Daphnia pulex: one gene and its partners. The main gene of each other region encodes a partner of the protein of the gene in region 2 in a complex. Links are inferred from orthologs where the notes say so. Each region holds a gene or a part of one and is shown on either strand. Other genes may lie near its edges.

Evidence for each region.
Region 1: eukaryotic translation initiation factor 3 subunit B-like (region 2) and eukaryotic translation initiation factor 3 subunit F-like share a complex: the UniProt entries of both Caenorhabditis elegans proteins name them as parts of the eukaryotic translation initiation factor 3 (eIF-3) complex. The link is inferred for Daphnia pulex from reciprocal best matches to the Caenorhabditis elegans genes eif-3.B and eif-3.F.
Region 3: eukaryotic translation initiation factor 3 subunit B-like (region 2) and eukaryotic translation initiation factor 3 subunit G-like share a complex: the UniProt entries of both Caenorhabditis elegans proteins name them as parts of the eukaryotic translation initiation factor 3 (eIF-3) complex. The link is inferred for Daphnia pulex from reciprocal best matches to the Caenorhabditis elegans genes eif-3.B and eif-3.G.

What each region holds. Positions count from the first base shown.
Region 1 is NC_060026.1:11,478,954-11,484,561, reverse strand, and holds eukaryotic translation initiation factor 3 subunit F-like, read left to right. Parts: upstream 1-2,473; 5' UTR 2,474-2,525; coding exon 2,526-2,634; intron 2,635-2,806; coding exon 2,807-3,095; intron 3,096-3,162; coding exon 3,163-3,254; intron 3,255-3,312; coding exon 3,313-3,563; intron 3,564-3,626; coding exon 3,627-3,710; 3' UTR 3,711-3,757; downstream 3,758-5,608. Other genes in the region: transcriptional adapter 2-beta-like, read right to left, coding at 1-243, 425-480, 721-952, 1,020-1,261, 1,328-1,566, 1,630-1,786, 1,845-1,904, 2,049-2,146 and 1 more; cyclin-dependent kinase 1-like, read right to left, coding at 3,994-4,246, 4,315-4,478, 4,541-4,696, 4,757-5,052, 5,118-5,166. UniProt on the Caenorhabditis elegans protein: Component of the eukaryotic translation initiation factor 3 (eIF-3) complex, which is involved in protein synthesis of a specialized repertoire of mRNAs and, together with other initiation factors, stimulates binding of mRNA and methionyl-tRNAi to the 40S ribosome.
Region 2 is NC_060026.1:9,962,601-9,969,044, reverse strand, and holds eukaryotic translation initiation factor 3 subunit B-like, read left to right. Parts: upstream 1-2,949; 5' UTR 2,950-3,074; coding exon 3,075-3,207; intron 3,208-3,285; coding exon 3,286-3,481; intron 3,482-3,546; coding exon 3,547-3,853; intron 3,854-3,934; coding exon 3,935-4,330; intron 4,331-4,397; coding exon 4,398-4,645; intron 4,646-4,706; coding exon 4,707-4,951; intron 4,952-5,012; coding exon 5,013-5,182; intron 5,183-5,243; coding exon 5,244-5,447; intron 5,448-5,521; coding exon 5,522-5,630; intron 5,631-5,694; coding exon 5,695-5,792; 3' UTR 5,793-6,056; downstream 6,057-6,444. Other genes in the region: DNA-dependent protein kinase catalytic subunit-like, read right to left, coding at 44-289, 357-458, 536-687, 752-918, 978-1,192, 1,268-1,448, 1,519-1,631, 1,751-1,940 and 2 more. UniProt on the Caenorhabditis elegans protein: RNA-binding component of the eukaryotic translation initiation factor 3 (eIF-3) complex, which is involved in protein synthesis of a specialized repertoire of mRNAs and, together with other initiation factors, stimulates binding of mRNA and methionyl-tRNAi to the 40S ribosome.
Region 3 is NC_060023.1:11,175,933-11,181,928, reverse strand, and holds eukaryotic translation initiation factor 3 subunit G-like, read left to right. Parts: upstream 1-2,449; 5' UTR 2,450-2,566; coding exon 2,567-2,586; intron 2,587-2,653; coding exon 2,654-2,694; intron 2,695-2,761; coding exon 2,762-3,000; intron 3,001-3,065; coding exon 3,066-3,233; intron 3,234-3,299; coding exon 3,300-3,450; intron 3,451-3,461; exon of another isoform or gene 3,462-3,570; coding exon 3,571-3,683; exon of another isoform or gene 3,684-3,753; coding exon 3,754-3,884; exon of another isoform or gene 3,885-4,043; coding exon 4,044-4,062; 3' UTR 4,063-4,145; downstream 4,146-5,996. Other genes in the region: tRNA (guanine-N(7)-)-methyltransferase-like, read right to left, coding at 1,267-1,404, 1,464-1,565, 1,646-1,790, 1,854-2,007, 2,072-2,190, 2,259-2,335; flocculation protein FLO11-like, read right to left, coding at 4,282-4,470, 4,547-5,541, 5,597-5,996. UniProt on the Caenorhabditis elegans protein: RNA-binding component of the eukaryotic translation initiation factor 3 (eIF-3) complex, which is involved in protein synthesis of a specialized repertoire of mRNAs and, together with other initiation factors, stimulates binding of mRNA and methionyl-tRNAi to the 40S ribosome.

The DNA of each region.
Region 1 (5,608 bases), about 1.5 Mb from region 2:
TGCTTTTCAGCAGGACTGAGCAGTTCTGAACCGGGACATAAAGTGAGATCGTCGCTCTTGGCGAGGAAATTAGCAACTGCCTCCTGCCATTCTGACTGTGAAAGTCGGGTATTAGCGGAGAGTACGGGCCCGAGTCGAGGCAGACTGCTTGAAACGCTGAGGACGCTGCTGTTGTTGTTGCTGCCGAAGGAGGTGACTTTTGCGTCTCGAAAGCTTGAAAGTAGCACTTCTTCCCTTGCGTTGCTGCGAAAAAAAAAAAAAAAACAAAAAAAACAAGTTACATACATAAGCCACGAATTTACTTAACAATTCTAAGAACTAAGAAATATAGTTGAGATTTCGTAATATAATGCAAAGCTATCACAGGTAACTGATGAGTTAAACTGCACATAGTATGTAAAAAAGGGGAAATAATAAAGCTTACTCTGACTTGTGTAGTGTCCCAGGGTTTTGTACAATCGGCCCCGGTCCACTGCTTCCCTACGTTAAAGTCTATTGTTCAATTTCCAGTCTTTTTTGGGTTCTAATTTAACTAGCTTGTAAGATACTTAAAATAAAGACACATAAGTAAAAAAATAAAATCGAATATTCAACCAATGGACACCACCAATAATGATTCATTTCAACGAAGTATTAACAGGTAAATAAACCAGTCGCACACTCTTACTATCGCTTGACGAAACTATGCAAGCAATAGTACAGACTGGGAAAATTGCTTACGGATTTCCGGCGCTGGCGCTCCAACCGGGCTTCTTTCTTTCTTTCACGGAAGTATCGCAGTCGTTCATATTCAGTACATTCCTCATGTCGAGTTAATCCATTCCTACGGTATTTGATTAGTTCTCGAATCCGCAATCGCAAAGCTCTCTCTTTAGTTAGATTGCGTAAGAATTGCTCATGCTCAGGTGCCGTGTGGAATTGGGAAAACGAACGAAATTTTTCTTGCGTTTCTCTGTACAAGGAAAAAAATGTAACTGTTTGTAATGAATCTATAGTTAACTAATTGAAACATGAATTACTTTTCCTTTTGGGACTCCCTTTTTTTTGCGGCAGTCGTAGGTTTTTCCTTCTCTTTCTTGATAGCGTTAAAAAATTGGGATACCAGTTGAAAATCCCGAGCAACCCGCTTCCTTCGGGCTCTTTCCCTCAGGCGGCGAGTATACATATCGACTTGAGCCAGTTTTAGAGCCAAATCAATATCCTCGTCGTCATGATTAATGGCAAGATGAGAAACAATTGCCTCAGCTTCATTGTCATGTTCCTACAAAAAATAAAAATAATGTTGAAGTTTTTAAGACAATTTGTTTCATGACAAATTAAGACCCACCCTTTCAAAATCATCTCTTTGAGGCATGTATCCAAGTTCTAATGTTTCTTCAGGTTGAATAGCTAAAGGTGGTAGTCGTGATGTGATGGATGGAGATAGAGGTGCATTATCTGGACAAGTGTGATCAATTGCTGCCAAGCGAGACTCTCCACTTGCGAGAAGTCCATTTGGAAGCCCTTGCCATGTTAGTTTACCTATTGTTCCTGTGACAAATCTATCACAGTACTGTTCTTTGCATTCTGTAAAAAAAACATAATTGGAGAGTAACTGATGATAAAATCCTGATAAAAATCAACAATTACTTTCTGAATCCCGTGTTTCTACATGTTTCGCAACATCTTCCCAATTTCCATAACCAAACTGTTCTATTGCATCAAGTAACTGATAGTCTTCCCTTGCAATCCAGCCACCTTCATCCTCCCTTTGTTGGTCAGGAAAAATACTAAAAGTACCAGGATCCTAGAAATTAAAAATAAAGTATTTATTGAGAGTTTGATAGAAAAACTTAAATACTCACTATTAATCTATATCCATGACTACTTTTATGTGGTCCAATTTCACAGCCAAGAGAGAAACACTAGAAAGAAACATTGCAAAACTGTGTTATTAAAATAATTCAAATTCGCCGCCGACCAACCGGCAATACCACTCCGGTGGGCGTCATAACAAACAACAAAGAAGGAAGGGGAGGGATTCATTCAACGAAGATTTTATACCACACCTGTAAACAAAGTTCGTAATCGACACAAACGTTACATCGGATTCGAATGCCAAGGATGTCGTCCTGACAGTAGCCACATCGATGCTTCATAAATAAATCTGAGGAATGGATACAGAAAGAAAGATTTTCAATTTTCGAAAATAAGGATTCAACGAGAGCATTTTTTTTTACCCGCCATCTTTAGCCTTCCCTTCCCATCAAGAACAACTAAGCTATGCCAACGCTAGCGAAAGCATTGGTCGCGCCCTCTGGTGACTGAGAAGTGAGAAGTCTTTAAAAAATAATTAAAATGACGTGTAAAATTTATAAACAATGTACACCGTACATTTTATTAAATTAAATTTTTTTTAATGTATAACGAGACGTGTTTGGTAAATAGAAATAATTCAACGTATTATATATCACCAATTGGCAACTAGTTCGTGTCGGCTTTTTCAGCTCCAATGCGGTAGTGGTCTGCAAAAAAAGTCACGCAAAATGGCTCTCAATCTGACTGTCAAGTTGCATCCTGTTGTATTATTTCAGATTATTGACTCTTATGAGCGTCGTAATCCTGATGCACAGAGAGTAATTGGAACGTTGCTTGGTAACATACAATTTAGATCATCCGTTTGCTTTCGCGTTTTATTGTTTTTTCGACTGTTGACACGTGTATCGGTATCGAGTACCTGACAAAATCTTTGGATTATATACCTAAATTCCTATAATATGCGAAATCGAAGTTGTGATAACTCATTTTTCATATTGATTTTTTCCAGGCACATCAGATAAAAATGGTGTGGAAGTGACCAATTGCTTTTGTGTGCCTCACAATGAATCAGAAGAAGAAGTGGCTGTGGAATTGGACTTTGCCAAGGATATGTATGACTTGCATCGTAAAGTTAATCCCCAAGAAAGCATTGTAGGTTGGTGGGCAACTGGTACTGGAGTCACATCTCACTCTGCTCTTATTCATGAGTACTACTCCAGAGAGTCCTCCAATCCTGTTCACATTACAGTGGACACCACATTGCAAGATACCCGTATGGGAATCAAAGCTTATGTCAGGTACATGCTATTAATTCAGTATGATACAATTGCTTTGAAAAATAATTATCTTTAAATTATCATCTAGTGTCCCAATGGGTATCACAGGCAAAACTATGGGATGCATGTTTGCTCCTGTTTCTGTTGAGATAGCATGCTATGACCCAGAAACTATTGGATGTAATTATAATAGAAAATGTGTATGTATACTGGGAATTAATCTTTGATTGTTTTTCAGTAAATGCCTGCCAGAAAACCAAAACCTCGGTTAAACGTCAAGCGGGCATCGCTTCGGATCTTACTCAGATTGTTGAAGCCTCGCAGCAGATGGAAAACATGCTGGACACTATCTTGGCTTATGTTGACGACGTAATGAGTGGCTCCAAAACGGCTGACAACACGTTTGGTCGTTCTCTATTAGATATGGTTCATTCGGTACCTAAAATGACACCCGACGAATTTGAAGAGATGCTTAATTCAAACCGAAAGGTAGAAAACATTACCCAATATTTACTTATTTAATCTAATTTTTGTAAAACTTTATTAATTTAGGATTTATTGATGGTATTATATCTATCACAACTTACCAAGACTCAACTGTCGCTGAACGAAAAACTCACATTGTTGACAATTTAATTCAGAACGTTGATATAAAAAATAAAAATGAACATCTCCCAATTAAATTACAATTTTCTGATGTAGTCCTCGTGAGCATATTTATTAGGAAACTATAGTATACAGTCACACGTACACAAGGGGGAAGAAAATTTCTTCGCTACCAAGGAAAAGAATCACACCCATCTTCTCTCAGAGAGCAAAAAAAATGATGATTAGGAAAAGCGAAAAACAGAATTTCAAGAAACGACCATCAGGAAGTTGGCCAGGTTTAGTAGCTATCGTTTACATGAGGAATGCTTAATTAAGCAGGCACATTGGTGGGTAAGATAGATTTATCCAGATCGGTAAACCAAGCATGATCTAAAGCATCCTGAGCCGTGATACGAAGGGCTGGATCGTAAATGAGAGTTTTTTGAAGCAGATCAAATCCAATCGAGTCAAGTTGCTTCACGGAATTTTGAAGGTGGTAAGTATTCCAATTAGGGAAAGTAGGTTTATAGTCGGGCATTTTTGAAACGCCTGGCCACATTTCCTCCGTGGGCGTCTTCATTACTCTGTGTTTCAAATAAAATAGGAACAAATGTAATTTTAAAAATAAAAAAAAAAGGACAAGTAACACTACCGGAAAATACGGTAAAGCTGATCAATTTCCGAATCTCCTTGGAACAATGGCTTTTTCGTTATCATTTCAGCCATAATACAGCCAACCGACCACACGTCTATGGGGCACGAATATCTTGATGACCCAAGCAATACTTCAGGAGCACGGTACCATAGAGTAACAACCTTCGTGAGTTCAAAAGAATTTATAGTATACGTCCATGCATTGGGAACCTTCTTTCCTTTACCTCGTGAGTGTAGACACGAACGGGAACTCCAAATACGCGCCCAAGACCGAAATCAGCTATCTTAATAATTCCGTTTTTATCGATGAGTAAGTTCTGGGGCTTCAAATCTCTATGCAAAACTCGACGTCTATGACAATATAAAATGCCTTCCAAAATCTAGAGGGAAAATATAAATCAGGCCAATATATAAATGAGTCCTAAATCTTCTAAGCAAACCTGGTGGCAATAAGACTTAACAAGAGTTTTATCCATCAACTGCCCAGTTGGAATGCTGTCCATGTACTTTTTAAGGTCCATTGACAGGAACTCAAAAATTAAATACAGCTTTCCTTCTTGCATCAAAACATCCTCCAGACAGACGATATTGGGATGTAGCAGCTCTTTCAAAAGTGATATCTCCCTGATGGCTGTCGAAGGAACACCATCATCTTCATTTTCAAGCCTGATTTTCTTCATGGCAACAAATTGTTGAGTCTTACGGTTTTTAGCCTTGTAGACAACACCATAAGTACCTTTGCGAAACAAAAGTTTTAAAATCAGTTCAAGTTACACAGCTTAGTGTACCAGGGATCATTACCTTCACCGATCTTTTCTATTTTGGTAAAGTCTTCCATTGCAGAAGGCATCACTATTGTTTGTTAAGAAACAAGAACAAAAACCAAAAAGTGTGAAGAATTGAAATCTCGGGAAAGTAACGGAAATTTGAAGTCGAATGGCAGCAAACAAAAACTGGAGTGACGTATTCTTCGTATTCCACCTGCAAATCAGATTGTCATCAATTGATTCGTAAGACTCTTGCATAAAATATTTCGTTACACGATAAACAGAGAATAATCTAACAAAGTAAAGAAAGTTCGTACCCAACGTGTTTCCACAGACTCGACTTTAAAGGAAAAGGTGAGCACACTTGGATGTCAAAGAGACGGTGGCGGCCGTTGGACTAAGGAATGTAACCGCCAAATTTTGAAACGACTTCATCACTTCACAGAATCACGGCCCTCTATGGGTGATAATCAGAAACCCATTGGACAAAATGGATGTATTTGACGAACCTACTATACGATTTCG
Region 2 (6,444 bases):
AACTTTAATTGTAATGAATGAACGTAAACGTAGTAACAAATACTTTTTTCTCCGTCTACCGTTGAATCTTCCATCTCATTTACTGAGAAATTTAGACGGCTGATTATTGTGGAAATGGCAGTAACCAACTGCCCATCTAGTACTTCAGAAACTCGAACACGGTCCTCCAGACTAAATGGAAGATCCGTCTGGCACGAGAAATTCATAATTGTAATCCAAAGAGAGGCATACTTCTTTATACTGTCAGAATCAAGTTCTGGTCGGGTAGAACGAATTAAACTTTGAATCACTAGAACAAAAAAAAAAGATACATACAAATATATATAACAGTAGCCTATTAGTATTTAATAACATACCAACTTCCCTCACAAAAGCAGAAAAATTAATAGGGTTCTGTACAGCAGCATGAACACCAACTAAAAACACGGCAACTGATCGACCACATCTATTTCGTTCAGCTTCAGGAGTCAGTTGTTGTTCGATTTAAACGTGTTGATTAAATATGTTAGAAAAAAGGAATATTTCAATTTAGTACCTATATCCAAATAGCGCGAGAAAAGATGGACAAACATTTTCTGTAGCTGCTGTGTTCTTTCAATTCCTACGGGGGTAGCATAGCGCATGAGAACAAGTCCAAGGGATTCAAGGCAAATAGGAAAAAGATCCAAGCTCTTTGAAGTATCCTCCCTGCAGAATTTATTAAATTGTTAGTTTTAAGATGGAATTTTAATTGATCAAAAGGCCTGCATACTGGATACAAATAAACGATGTCTTATTGAGTAGATACTCAAAAATGTGTGATACATTCTTTCCAGAAACCAAGAAGCTACACTCGCCCAAGGCTTTAAGGCCAACACATTTGAGCTGGAGGGAAGCCTGATCAGATTCCAAAATCTCTATCACATTCTTCATGAAAAACTAAGAAGATAAATTTTAAACAGAAGAAAATATACATTAATACACATGAAAATGAAAACCTCGAGTATTGATGATTTGTGTGTAGCATCTGATTCAATCTTCAAAATTTTTACGCTTTCGTCAATAAACTTCCCAAGTGCTTTCAGACCACTTTCAAGAATATCTGTTTTTTCGCGCAAAGCATAAGATTTCAAGTTATCGAACCAGGATTTGTATTGCTTTAGCAGCAAGTTATTGAAGAGAGATGCGTGTTCTTCCAGCATGTTCAATGCGGCTGTGCATAAAAAACAAAAACAAAAAATAAATAGTTCAGGCAAAATAATGAAAAACCAAATGTTAATATAACCACCTTTTTTGGTATGAACTCTCTTATCGACCAGTAAAAATTTCGTGAGAAGCATCAATAAGTAACTATGAATTTTTTCCCTACATTTTTGGTCAACGATTGAATTAAATGAATGGAGAAATCCTGTAAGAGCTTCAATACAGCCTGCTACACGTTTATCTTTGAAATCATGCTGCCTTTTCACCTTTAAAGAAAGAAAAAGAAAAATTATTTGATTTTACAGAACGTAATTATTTACGTTAATGTTTAGTTACCTCCTTTTCAAGTTCATAAAGGAGTTGGTTAATGATGCGACTGGCCTTTTCCTTCAGTGTACTAGGAAAGTACTGGGCCAGTCTGCCTAGGAGTACTAGGAAATTCATTTTCGCTAAAGTAAAACATAAATATTATAAATAACCATAGAAATACATATCTATGCATACACAGTAATAATACAATCTGCATAACAAACAGGGTAATTATACAATAGTCTTTTTAATTAATCACCTTTGCTTGAACTATCATCAGAAGATGTAGCCATTTTTTCAAAAAGCATATTAGAAAGGGCTGGCAAATTCAGTTCTTCTAATATTTCTGTTGGTGAAGTTTGAGCAGTAATAACAACTTGGCAAAGAACAAAATAACAAGCTCCTCGTATCTTAGAATTTTTGGAGTTCATGTACATCAATGCTAAATTCTTAAGGTAAATGAAAGTTATACTATTAGGTTTTTACACATAGCTAGGTAATATTAATTATTTTCCATACTTTAATAACCACTAAATGGTTGCTCATGGATTCTCCAAATTTTTCCAGTAAATCACCCAAAATTGACAGGGCACAATTTATTATTTCTGCAAAGTTGTCATCCTTTTGAGAATCTCTGAACTTGGACAACAAGGAAATTAATCCAATTTCTTTGTTTAGTAAAGCCGAGACAACAGAATCTTTAGAAAAAATACAATGTAAATGAATTGATTAACATGTTTTTGATGGGACCAATATTTGAAACCTACTGTCTTTGGTTTTGGATACAACATCTTTAATATCCTTGATTTGCTCCAGCATATCGCTGCACGTTCCAGAATGCATCTGAAATAGATAACCTTCCAATACGCTGTCCATTTTATATTCCTCGATGTTACCGACAACCGGACACTTTTAAAAGGCCAACTTCTTCTCGATTATTCGCAATTTTTACGACTTTAAAACTTTAATCATACATATTTAAATGTTAAGACAAGTTTTCAATTGTAGTGGTTCTTCAAAATTTTGCGATCAACGTTAACTCACGTAGGTTATAGGCCTAAGTGATGTTTTCATCCCTCCCGGGTTATGATGATTCGGCTGCTAGAATTGTGCTTTTGCGTAGGCATATTTGCCATGACTGATAGTTAGGCGTAATACATATTTGTAAAATATTCGCTATCATGGTTTTAAAATATCATTACGTTACTTTAAAAATATTTAAAAAAATTATTACCAACTCATTCCTCAAATGGGTATAAGGATTCAACTTTTTTGGAAATGAATAAATGTAGGCTATTTTCTGAAAACAAAAAAAAATCCAATGTATGATTATAATGCGAATAAAAATCAAGAAAAAATAATAATAATAAAAAATCTAAATTATTTTCCCTTCAGAAGATCCCGTTCTAGCTGACAGGCTAGGCTAGTCACCAAGTTACCTATGGTGTTTGGTGAATGGTGATTGCCTGATTGGTGGATGGTGGTTGCCTTGGCCTTCTCGATGGTAGTATTATTTGTTGAAATCTGGCACAGGCTTCCGCCATTAAAGACTCGTGTCCGGTGTGCAGTGCTTGTTTTTCATCATGGCTCGACGAAAAGAAAATGATCGAGCTCAGCAAAATAACGATGACTCGGATTCTAACCCAAACGATGAATTAGAAGACGAGCCCAACTTCGATGATCCGGAAGGTTATGAGGACGATATTTCTGAAGAAGGTACCGTTTGTAACTTACCTTTTGCCATATGGCTTTCCTGAGCATGCCGGCATTGAATCTTGCTAACTGTCAATGTAGATCTTATAGGTGACCTCATCAGGCAGCGTCCGAAAGAAACCGACGGAGTCGAATCAATTGTTGTTATTGACGGTGTTCCTCAGGTTGGTACTGAGAGGATAGAAAAACTTCAAAATGTCCTGAGAAAACTATTCCAAAAGTTTGGAAAAATAACTAATGAATATTATCCTCTTAATGCTGATGGATCAACTAAAGGGTAATTTATTAGTTTTTTTTTTAACTTTTGTGTCAGCCCAATTTTAACATAATATACTTTTGAAGCCATGTTTTCATAGAGTACTCAAATGCCAATGAAGCATTGGAAGTTCTTAAAGGAACTAATGGTTACAAGTTCGACAAAAATCACACCTTCACTGTGAACTTACTTACTGACTTCGAAAAATATAATGACATTCTTGATAAGTGGGAAAATCCAATTCCTCAGCCGTTTAAGGAGCAAGGATGCCTTCAATACTATCTTCTTGATCAAGACGCTTGTGACCAATTCTCAGTTGTGTATGAGCAGGGAGACAAAGTTGCTGTTTATTTGAACACTCAACCTGAACCCTCTCTGCTGGAAGAAAGACCTGTGAGTCACTTCACCTTTATTATTATTATTATTTTTTTTTTTCATATTAAAATTTTATCTGACCAATAATTATCTTCACAGAGATGGACTGAGACTCTAGTGCGGTGGTCACCTCTTGGCACCTATCTAGCCACTTTCCATGCAAAGGGTATAGCTCTTTGGGGTGGTGAAAAGTTTCAACAAATTGTGCGCTTCAGTCATCCAGGAGTGCAATTCATTGACTTCTCACCATGTGAGAAGTATTTAGTATCTTTTAGTCCACTGGCTGATTCAAGAGCAACTGATGAACCACAAGCCATCATCATTTGGGACGTGTTGAGCGGTCTTAAGCGACGAGCTTTTAATGCCGATAAATCTCAAGCCCTGCCCATTTTTAAGTGGTCGCATGATGACAAGTATTTCGCTAGGATGGGAATCGACATGCTTTCTGTTTATGAAACCCCATCATTTGGCCTTTTAGACAAGAAGTCGATCAAAGTAACGTACACGATTTACAAAATCTTCTAATAACCATTTCCTAACATGCACTCTTACATTTTGATAGGTTCAAGGAATTCGAGATTTTGCCTGGAGCCCAACAGACAATACGATTGCTTATTGGGTCGGAGAGGAGAAAGATACTCCTGCTCGCGTCACACTTCTTGAGTTGCCAAGTCGCAATGAAGTGCGAGTCAAAAATTTGTTTAGCGTTGCCGACTGTAAAATGTATTGGCAAAAATCAGGTGACTATTTGTGTGTGAAAGTCGACCGCTATGCCAAATTAAGGAAAGATAAGTCCGATATCAAATACAGGTAATGAGATGCCACTCCTTCAATTAATAGATATAAAAGCTAATTTTCCCCCCTTTGATAGCGGTATCTACTACAATTTGGAAGTTTTCCACATGCGAGAAAAACAAATTCCAGTCGACTCGGTAGAAATCAAGGAAACCATTCAAGCTTTTGCGTGGGAGCCAGTTGGTACTAAGTTTGCCGTCATCCACGGTGAGCCACCGAGTACTTCTGTTTCTTTCTTCGAAGTTAAAACTGGACAAACGCCTACGATGGTTAAAAAATACGAACGTAAACCTTGCAACCAGTTGTACTGGGCCCCTTCTGGTAAGAAAACATTAAATTTAATGTTAAAATTCTAAAATCCTTACTATACTTTATCGAACAGGCCAGTTCATTGTGTTAGCCGGCCTACGTGCCATGTCTGGCACATTGGAATTTGTCGACACCCATGATTTTACCGTCATGAATACGGGCGAACACTTCATGGCTACTGATGTGGAGTGGGATCCAACCGGTCGGTATGTCGCAACTGCTGTTTCCTGGTGGGGTCACAAGGTAACAAAAATCAAGCAATGTATTCATTTTTGACAATGTTTGATCTCTTGTACTTTGACAGGTCGATAATGCCTACTGGTTGTGGTCCTTCCAAGGACGCATTCTCAAACGCGTAGCACTAGACAAATTCTGTCAGCTGCAATGGAGACCTCGACCACCTTCATTACTTCCAGCCCAACAAATAAAGGACATTAAGAAGTCTTTGAAGAAATTTAGTGCCCAATTCGAAGTGAAGGATCGATTGAAAATGACTAAAGCTTCCAAAGTAAATATTTTTTGAATGTGTAATTTTTGGCGAAAGTATTTTCTAAAAATCTGACATTTTCAAACTTCACCCAGGAATTGGTAGAAAAACGCCGCAAACTGATGCAAGAATATGAAGACTTGCGTAAGCAGAAGCAAGAGGACTATGACGCTCAACGTCGCCGTCGTATCGAATTGCGCAACAGTAAGTTCTTAAACCTAGTTAATAAGTAAGCTTATCAGGATTTAACTCACAAATGAATTCACAGACGTGGATACGGATGAAACTGAAGGCCGTGGAGGGGAATTAGAAGAGGAGACAGTCGAGTTTTTCATTAAAGAGGAGACGACATTCATCGACGAGTAATTGCCAAGACTGTAAACAATCACCACATCTTGAGGCGTGCTGCTTATTCAGTGAAAGGCAGCACATCTCGAGGTTTTTGTCAGATATTAATATCCGACAAATCCAACATCAGAAAATGAAGACAAATATAATTGTGTGTCTCATCGATTGGTTATGGCTGTTTGCGTCTCTCTTTGGTTTCAACTATCATGTACCCTTTAGATTATCAAAAATACATTTTGATTGCCTCGTCGCAACTGAAGTTGAACGAGAAGTAAAAAGGAATATATTGTACATGTTTCTGTTTGGGAAAAATTTACCGTTAACATTCGTTGATCAATAAGTCTGCAAATTTTTCTATAATGTTAGTCTTAAACTCTTAACAGAGATATACTCTTTCTTATAGTGCCCGAGGGTACTGTAATCGAAACATGGAGTTCGATCATTTTGACAGCAGAGTAATGAAAGACTGGAAGTACTTAAATTTTCCATGGCTTGAATTAGTTAGCATTTCGGAATTTATGGGTTATAGTGGGAAATGGAATTGAAGTCTGAAGGAAATGACGGATTTATAGAATGTTGGAAACTGGAATGGATTGGAAAATTGGAAAAACAAAAATATTATTTTTACTACTACATTTTTTTCTGGTGCGTGCGGCAACGTTGTCTCACA
Region 3 (5,996 bases), on a different chromosome or scaffold from region 2:
CAATGAAACGAAATTCACAAAAAAACACAAGAAGACTTTCAGGGAGTTGGTTAATCTTTTTTCAGCCACAATACTGTCGGTGGAACCGTGTTTGACGTTGGGTAGAGAATGACAGCGGTTGGAGAGAGCGCACCAGCACCGTCTCTCATAGCACGAACTGGCTCGAATATGGCCAGGCCAACTCAACATGGCTGCATAGACTGTGAGATACGCCACACAGCGGCCGATTGCACAACCGCATCGGAAAGTGTCCCAATATTGACTCGGGGATCGAAGAAATTTCTATAAGACGAAAAGCCGTCGGACCGGAGCCGAACATATTCAAGTGTTTCCCATCCGTCAAGTGTTTAAATATTTCAAACAAAATAAAACTGCAGGAAATCATATTACGCAGCACAAATGGGTCACGCTGATGCGCACCATAAATTTTCATCGGAATATTATTTCCTTATATATTCTTTCATCTACCGCCTGCTAGGATTTCACATCCTATAACAATAAACATCACTATCAGTGATGCAATCTCGTCTTAGTCACTTAGTCGGCTTAGTGAAATTACATTTATGCCACGCTCCCCGAGTTTCAACCCATCCCATTTTCACAGCGTCGCAGAATTCCTACGCGCCTAATTCGATTAAGATTTTTACAAAATGGTATTCAACACGAATAACAATAAGTTGAAAGGATGGATGGTGACGTTTTTTTTCCACGTTCCTTTGCTTCCCATGAAATCGTCAGCTGACACATGGTCGATACGTAGACGACGGAAACTTAACACGATTTTTTTTTTCTCTATGAAGCAGATTATTGAACGTATCGATCGTATGAGCAAATGAATCAATAAGAACTCAAGCTCCACAAAAAGATACAAGTTAATCCCTTTGAAAACTAGAAACATTACAAATCAGGAAATCATTCATAAAAGACCCTTCAGTCAAACAGATCTACAAATGGATTGCCAAAAAAGAGAATGTTAAATTTATTTCCATGAAACTTTAATTCAAAGTGCCCATTCGTCATTTGACACGTTTGCGCGCGCTCCCTTTTCAGTTACAAAATACCGTACATACCTTATGAGTTCTTTGTCAACAACTATTGATCTTGGAAAATTTGTCTGTTCTGCGCATGGGCGATGCATACATAAAACGTGGGTCACCTATTTTGAATGGCAGCTTAAAGCTGGTTGATTATGTGAATTCCAGCAAACAGTTCCATTGGGAGCAATACAAGTGACGAGCAGGGAACCGGCAAACAAATTTGTATACATTAGCACTTGTTTTCTTCAAGTACGAATGGATCAGGAATTCTTCTGAATACAGCAAGAAATTTATCACCACTATTTCGCGTGACTTTTTTGCCCTCCTCCGTTGATTCGTACAGTTTTGGAACTACAATGTCTTGATCCTGATACCGCAAAAAGAATTTGTAGTTTTATAGCTATTTAATTATAAAGTATAACTAACCAGCTCTTCCTGGGTTAGTCTCTTAAATAATGGATGTTGGTCTAGATGCATAACCATCCATTCATGAAGATCTTTAACATCAGTAATTGTGTAAACCAAACCCTAAAGTAAAATTTAATTAATCACACAAGATATCTACATCAAGTAGCTAAAGAAGGGCCGTTCTAGGCCTGCCTACTTACCCCTTCAGCCAAAACATAGGCATATTCAGCCAAGAGAGTGTCATTGATAATACGCCACTTGTGTTTGGCCTTCTTAAAATGAGGATCAGGGAAGAGGAAAAACATTTTTGTCAATTGTCCTTTATCGAAAAAGCAAGGGAGGTACCTAGTAGCATAGAATAAATTAAGCAAACATGCCCAAGTAAATGAACAAAATAAATGTAAGTACTTCATGGCATTGCTTCTTAAGCAGGCAACATTTCCGTAATCACCTGGATGCAAAATCCTCAACGCCTTTATGCGATCCTGGACATATTCTGAAACTTTCAAACGAATCTCCATTCCTAACATTAAAGTCTCTGGGAACATGGTGGATAATGATACTGTTAAAAAAAAATACAAAATTAATTTTCCACATATTTTATTGGCAAAATGTGATAAAAATACTCAATAAACCGCCATAGCCACATCCAATATCAGCAAACTGAACTTTGTGTTTCATTATTCCATCTTTGCTGAATGTAGGATAGAGCTCATCCCATTTCATGTCATTGGGAGAGACAGGACTTCAAACGACAAATTGGGTTAGAAAATGACTTAATGATAAATCGAAAACTGGAAATAAGATACTCACTAGTCAAAACAGTGATCTGCGATAGGATTGGAGTGTGCTCTTTGTCGATAATATTTTTTCTGTGGTAAGCTAGCCATTTTTGCTGTATTCGAGTTCCACGTGCCGGAATCTCATAAACGGCGGGATTGTATTCGAAGAAGAGCAGACGAAATTGTAAAAGCAGTCAAAATTACGAAATGAATTTTTCAAAACTGGCAATGTCGCTCTACACACGTTCTAATGGCTGCTTGCTGACACATTTCTGCAATAGCAGTGAATTTTCTACTTTTTGATTATTTACTTGACGTAATCAATCTTCTCCAAGAAAAATGCCGGTTGCTGATAATGAGTAAGTGAAATGAGACAAATTAATGTGCAAATATTAAAAATACAACACAATCTTGATATGATTTCAGAGTTAAATCCAGTTGGGCCGATGACGTTGAGGATATCGATGGTTAGTAATGCCGCTTCCCCGTAATTAATGTAAGATTTTCTTTAATCATGCCGGTATTATTCCTTAGGTCTCGGTTTACCCCCTAACACTGAAGAATACAAAAATGGGCTGAAAATTGTCACAGAGTATGGTCTTGATGATGATAACAGGAAGTTCAAGGTGGTGCGTACTTACAAAATAGAGAAAAGGTATGTAGCTAAAGCCATTGCCCAGCGTAAAAGTTGGCCAAAATTTGGTCTTTCCAAGGAAGATAAACCAGGACCAAACCCTGCAACAACAATTGTATCTGAAGATGTAGCCATGCAGGTATTTCTTTTCTCAGTTGATCTATCAAAACCGTTGGATGCTAATTACCATTTTTACTTTGACAGTTTATTACGAACAAAGAGGATCCTGATAACAAGGAAGATGACCCTCTTATGAAGTTAAAAAGCATGCAGAAGGGCATTGTTAAGTGTCGTATCTGTAAAGAGGACCATTGGACAACACAGTGTCCTTACAAGGACACACTTTTGCCTGTCCAAGAAGCACTCAATAAGGTAAACACATTTTCTTTATTTTGAATTGAACTCTTGCTAATTTTGCTCTATATCTCTTTAATTAAGGCTGAGGAGAAGAAGGCCGGCCCGCCTCCTGCCGCAGCTGCTGCTGGAGGACCGCAAGCCAAGGGTGGTAAAGAAGGAAGCGCCTATATTGCACCTGCACTTCGTGATGGTGGCAACAGAAAAGGAGAGACTATGGCTATGGGTCGACGAAGTAAGATACAGTTTCTTCATAGTAGTTTATTTCATATTATTAAAACCACCGGAGAAGTAATAGAAAACATACATAGGAAAAACATTATTTAATGATTACCCTTTTCTTTCCCGATAACAGCTGATGAAGGGTGCACTGTACGAGTAACCAACCTCTCGGAAAACGCTCGCGATTCCGATCTTCAAGAATTGTTCGGCCGTATTGGCGAAATCTCACGCATCTTCCTCTCAAAGGTTAGACTCAAATTTATTCACTAATTATCATTTTGTAAAAATTATGGCACCGCTTCAAACTGAATTTTAGGACAAAAACACTGGCCAATCCAGAGGTTTTGCATTTGTCAGCTACAAACGACGAGAAGACGCCGAACGAGCTATCAAGACCTTGAATGGTTTTGGTTACGACCATCTTATCCTGACTGTCGAATGGTCTAAGTAAGTTAGCTCTCAATTCACTTAATTTCATTCAAAATAGTTGTGAGCTGAATTTGAAATTCATGACTGGAATTTTTAAAATTTTATTTTTTAACAATTTAGTTCTTTAAATTGACGAGTCAAATGAAACTGATCTTTCTCTTTTCAATCGTTTAACAGACCATCGGGAACACAGTGAAAAAAGCCTAAAATTCCTTCATCAAATATTGGATGCTACGATCATGTAAAGGGATAAAAAAAATACACGCAAATGGATTCCAATCAAGCTCTTCAACCCTCTATCACAGACATGAACCGAATTTTCACCTTTCTCTTTTGTCTTTCTAAGCTAAACATCAAGGGAATGAGGATTACCTCACCTAAACATTATTTTTAAGTGAAAAAAAAGTAAAGTTATCTAGTTTTGCGCTGATTCATCCTCGGCTTGACGTGCAAGATGATAGCCCCTGCTGTTACTGCTAAAGCCTCGTCCTTTACGTTTTGCCAGGTACCAGGCTACAAAAAAGACTGTCGTGATAAAAATGGTGCATCCTAGAACTATGTACATCAGGGAAAGTGGATTCGACTCGATCAATGCGCCTGTTACCTGTATCAACACGGTAAACAAAACAGACGGGTTATAAATACGTAGTGGAAATCATTAGCATTTAAATTTAACGTACCGTTGGGAATATCATCTCTCCCATTGAAGAAGCAACTGAGAAAGCCGCAGAAATCCGGTTAGTTACCAGCAGGTGTGTTTCGGTCCATATGAAGCCTGTTGCGAAGGTTGAAGCCATTCCTACGCCAACCAAGGCCGAACCGACGTACAAAATAGTGGCGTCCGTCTGCCCAGCAACACAGAGAGTCATCGAGCCGAGCGCAGTAGAGCATAAGTTGAAAATGAGCATGGCTGTGGGATTGGTGAAGTGGGCAACGAAAATGGCTACAAATCGTGCGGCCGCGAACGAGGCCCAGAATGTAGTTGTGATGTAATTGGCAGTCGAAGTCGATAGCTTAAGTGGGCTCTCCAACGCAAATGTAGTAAGGAACTGAGCAAATACGACCTCAGAGCCGACGTACATCAAGTAAAACGAGAACATCAGCACGACGAAGGATATCTTGGCGCTGGGCCGGAAAGGTTTAACTTTCCGATCAGACGTTTGACGTTCGGCGGTCGAGCTGCGAGTTCCAGAACACAGAAAGAAGAGAAAGAAAAAGGCTGTGTGCAAGACGATGATGGCGATAACGGTATACAACATGTGCATCCGCGTAACTCCAAAACGCTCCAGATAGTCAGAAACTTTAACGGGGGACCGATCAATAGTCTCGCTCTCATTGTGGATGGGTGAATTTGTTGTTGTCACAAGTACGTTAGGCTCGGAAGTTGTGACTGGAAGTACGAGCGTAGTCGAGGGAACCACCGAGCTGACTTCATCTTGTTGACCTCTGCTCTTTCCACGACTCTTGACTACAACATTATCTGCAAGGTCGACTGGCAATGTTGTAGCAACTGGAATGGGTAATGAAATGTTTTTGATGGTCGTGGGTAGCAATTCTATCGAGGATGGTGTCGTCGTTGTCGAAGTTGTAGTTGAAACAGCCGTAGTTGATTGAGACGTCGTCGAAGAATAAAGAGGAGTTGTAGTAGGGAATGTTTTAACATTAAGTTCAGCACCTACAAGTTCAATATTAAAATCGTGTTTACATTATTTTCTGATTGTTAAAATTACCTTTTGTTACGTTGTTGATGGCAGTTTCTTTAGGCTGGAATTCAGCGTTTAAGTTTGATGAATTGATAACGGGTTCTACAGTAGTTAGAGGAATGGTGGTTATCGTAGAGTTTTCAGTAACAGGACTCAAAGTTGAAGAAGTGACGGTATCGTTTCCGGTGGATTCAGACGCATTCTTGGATGAAACGGTAGAAGTATTATTGTCACTGCTGCCGATATTGAGCCCTTGGACTTCATTGGATTTTTGGAGTATCATCGTTATTTCCGTCATGTTATCTTGAGCTTTCGGGGTACCATTGATGGAAGGAGGAATTGTTGTTATATCGGTGGATGTAAGCGTAATGGCGGGTGTAGTTTGATTTTCGTTGGATGACGCAGTCGTGGTAGTTACAACGACTTC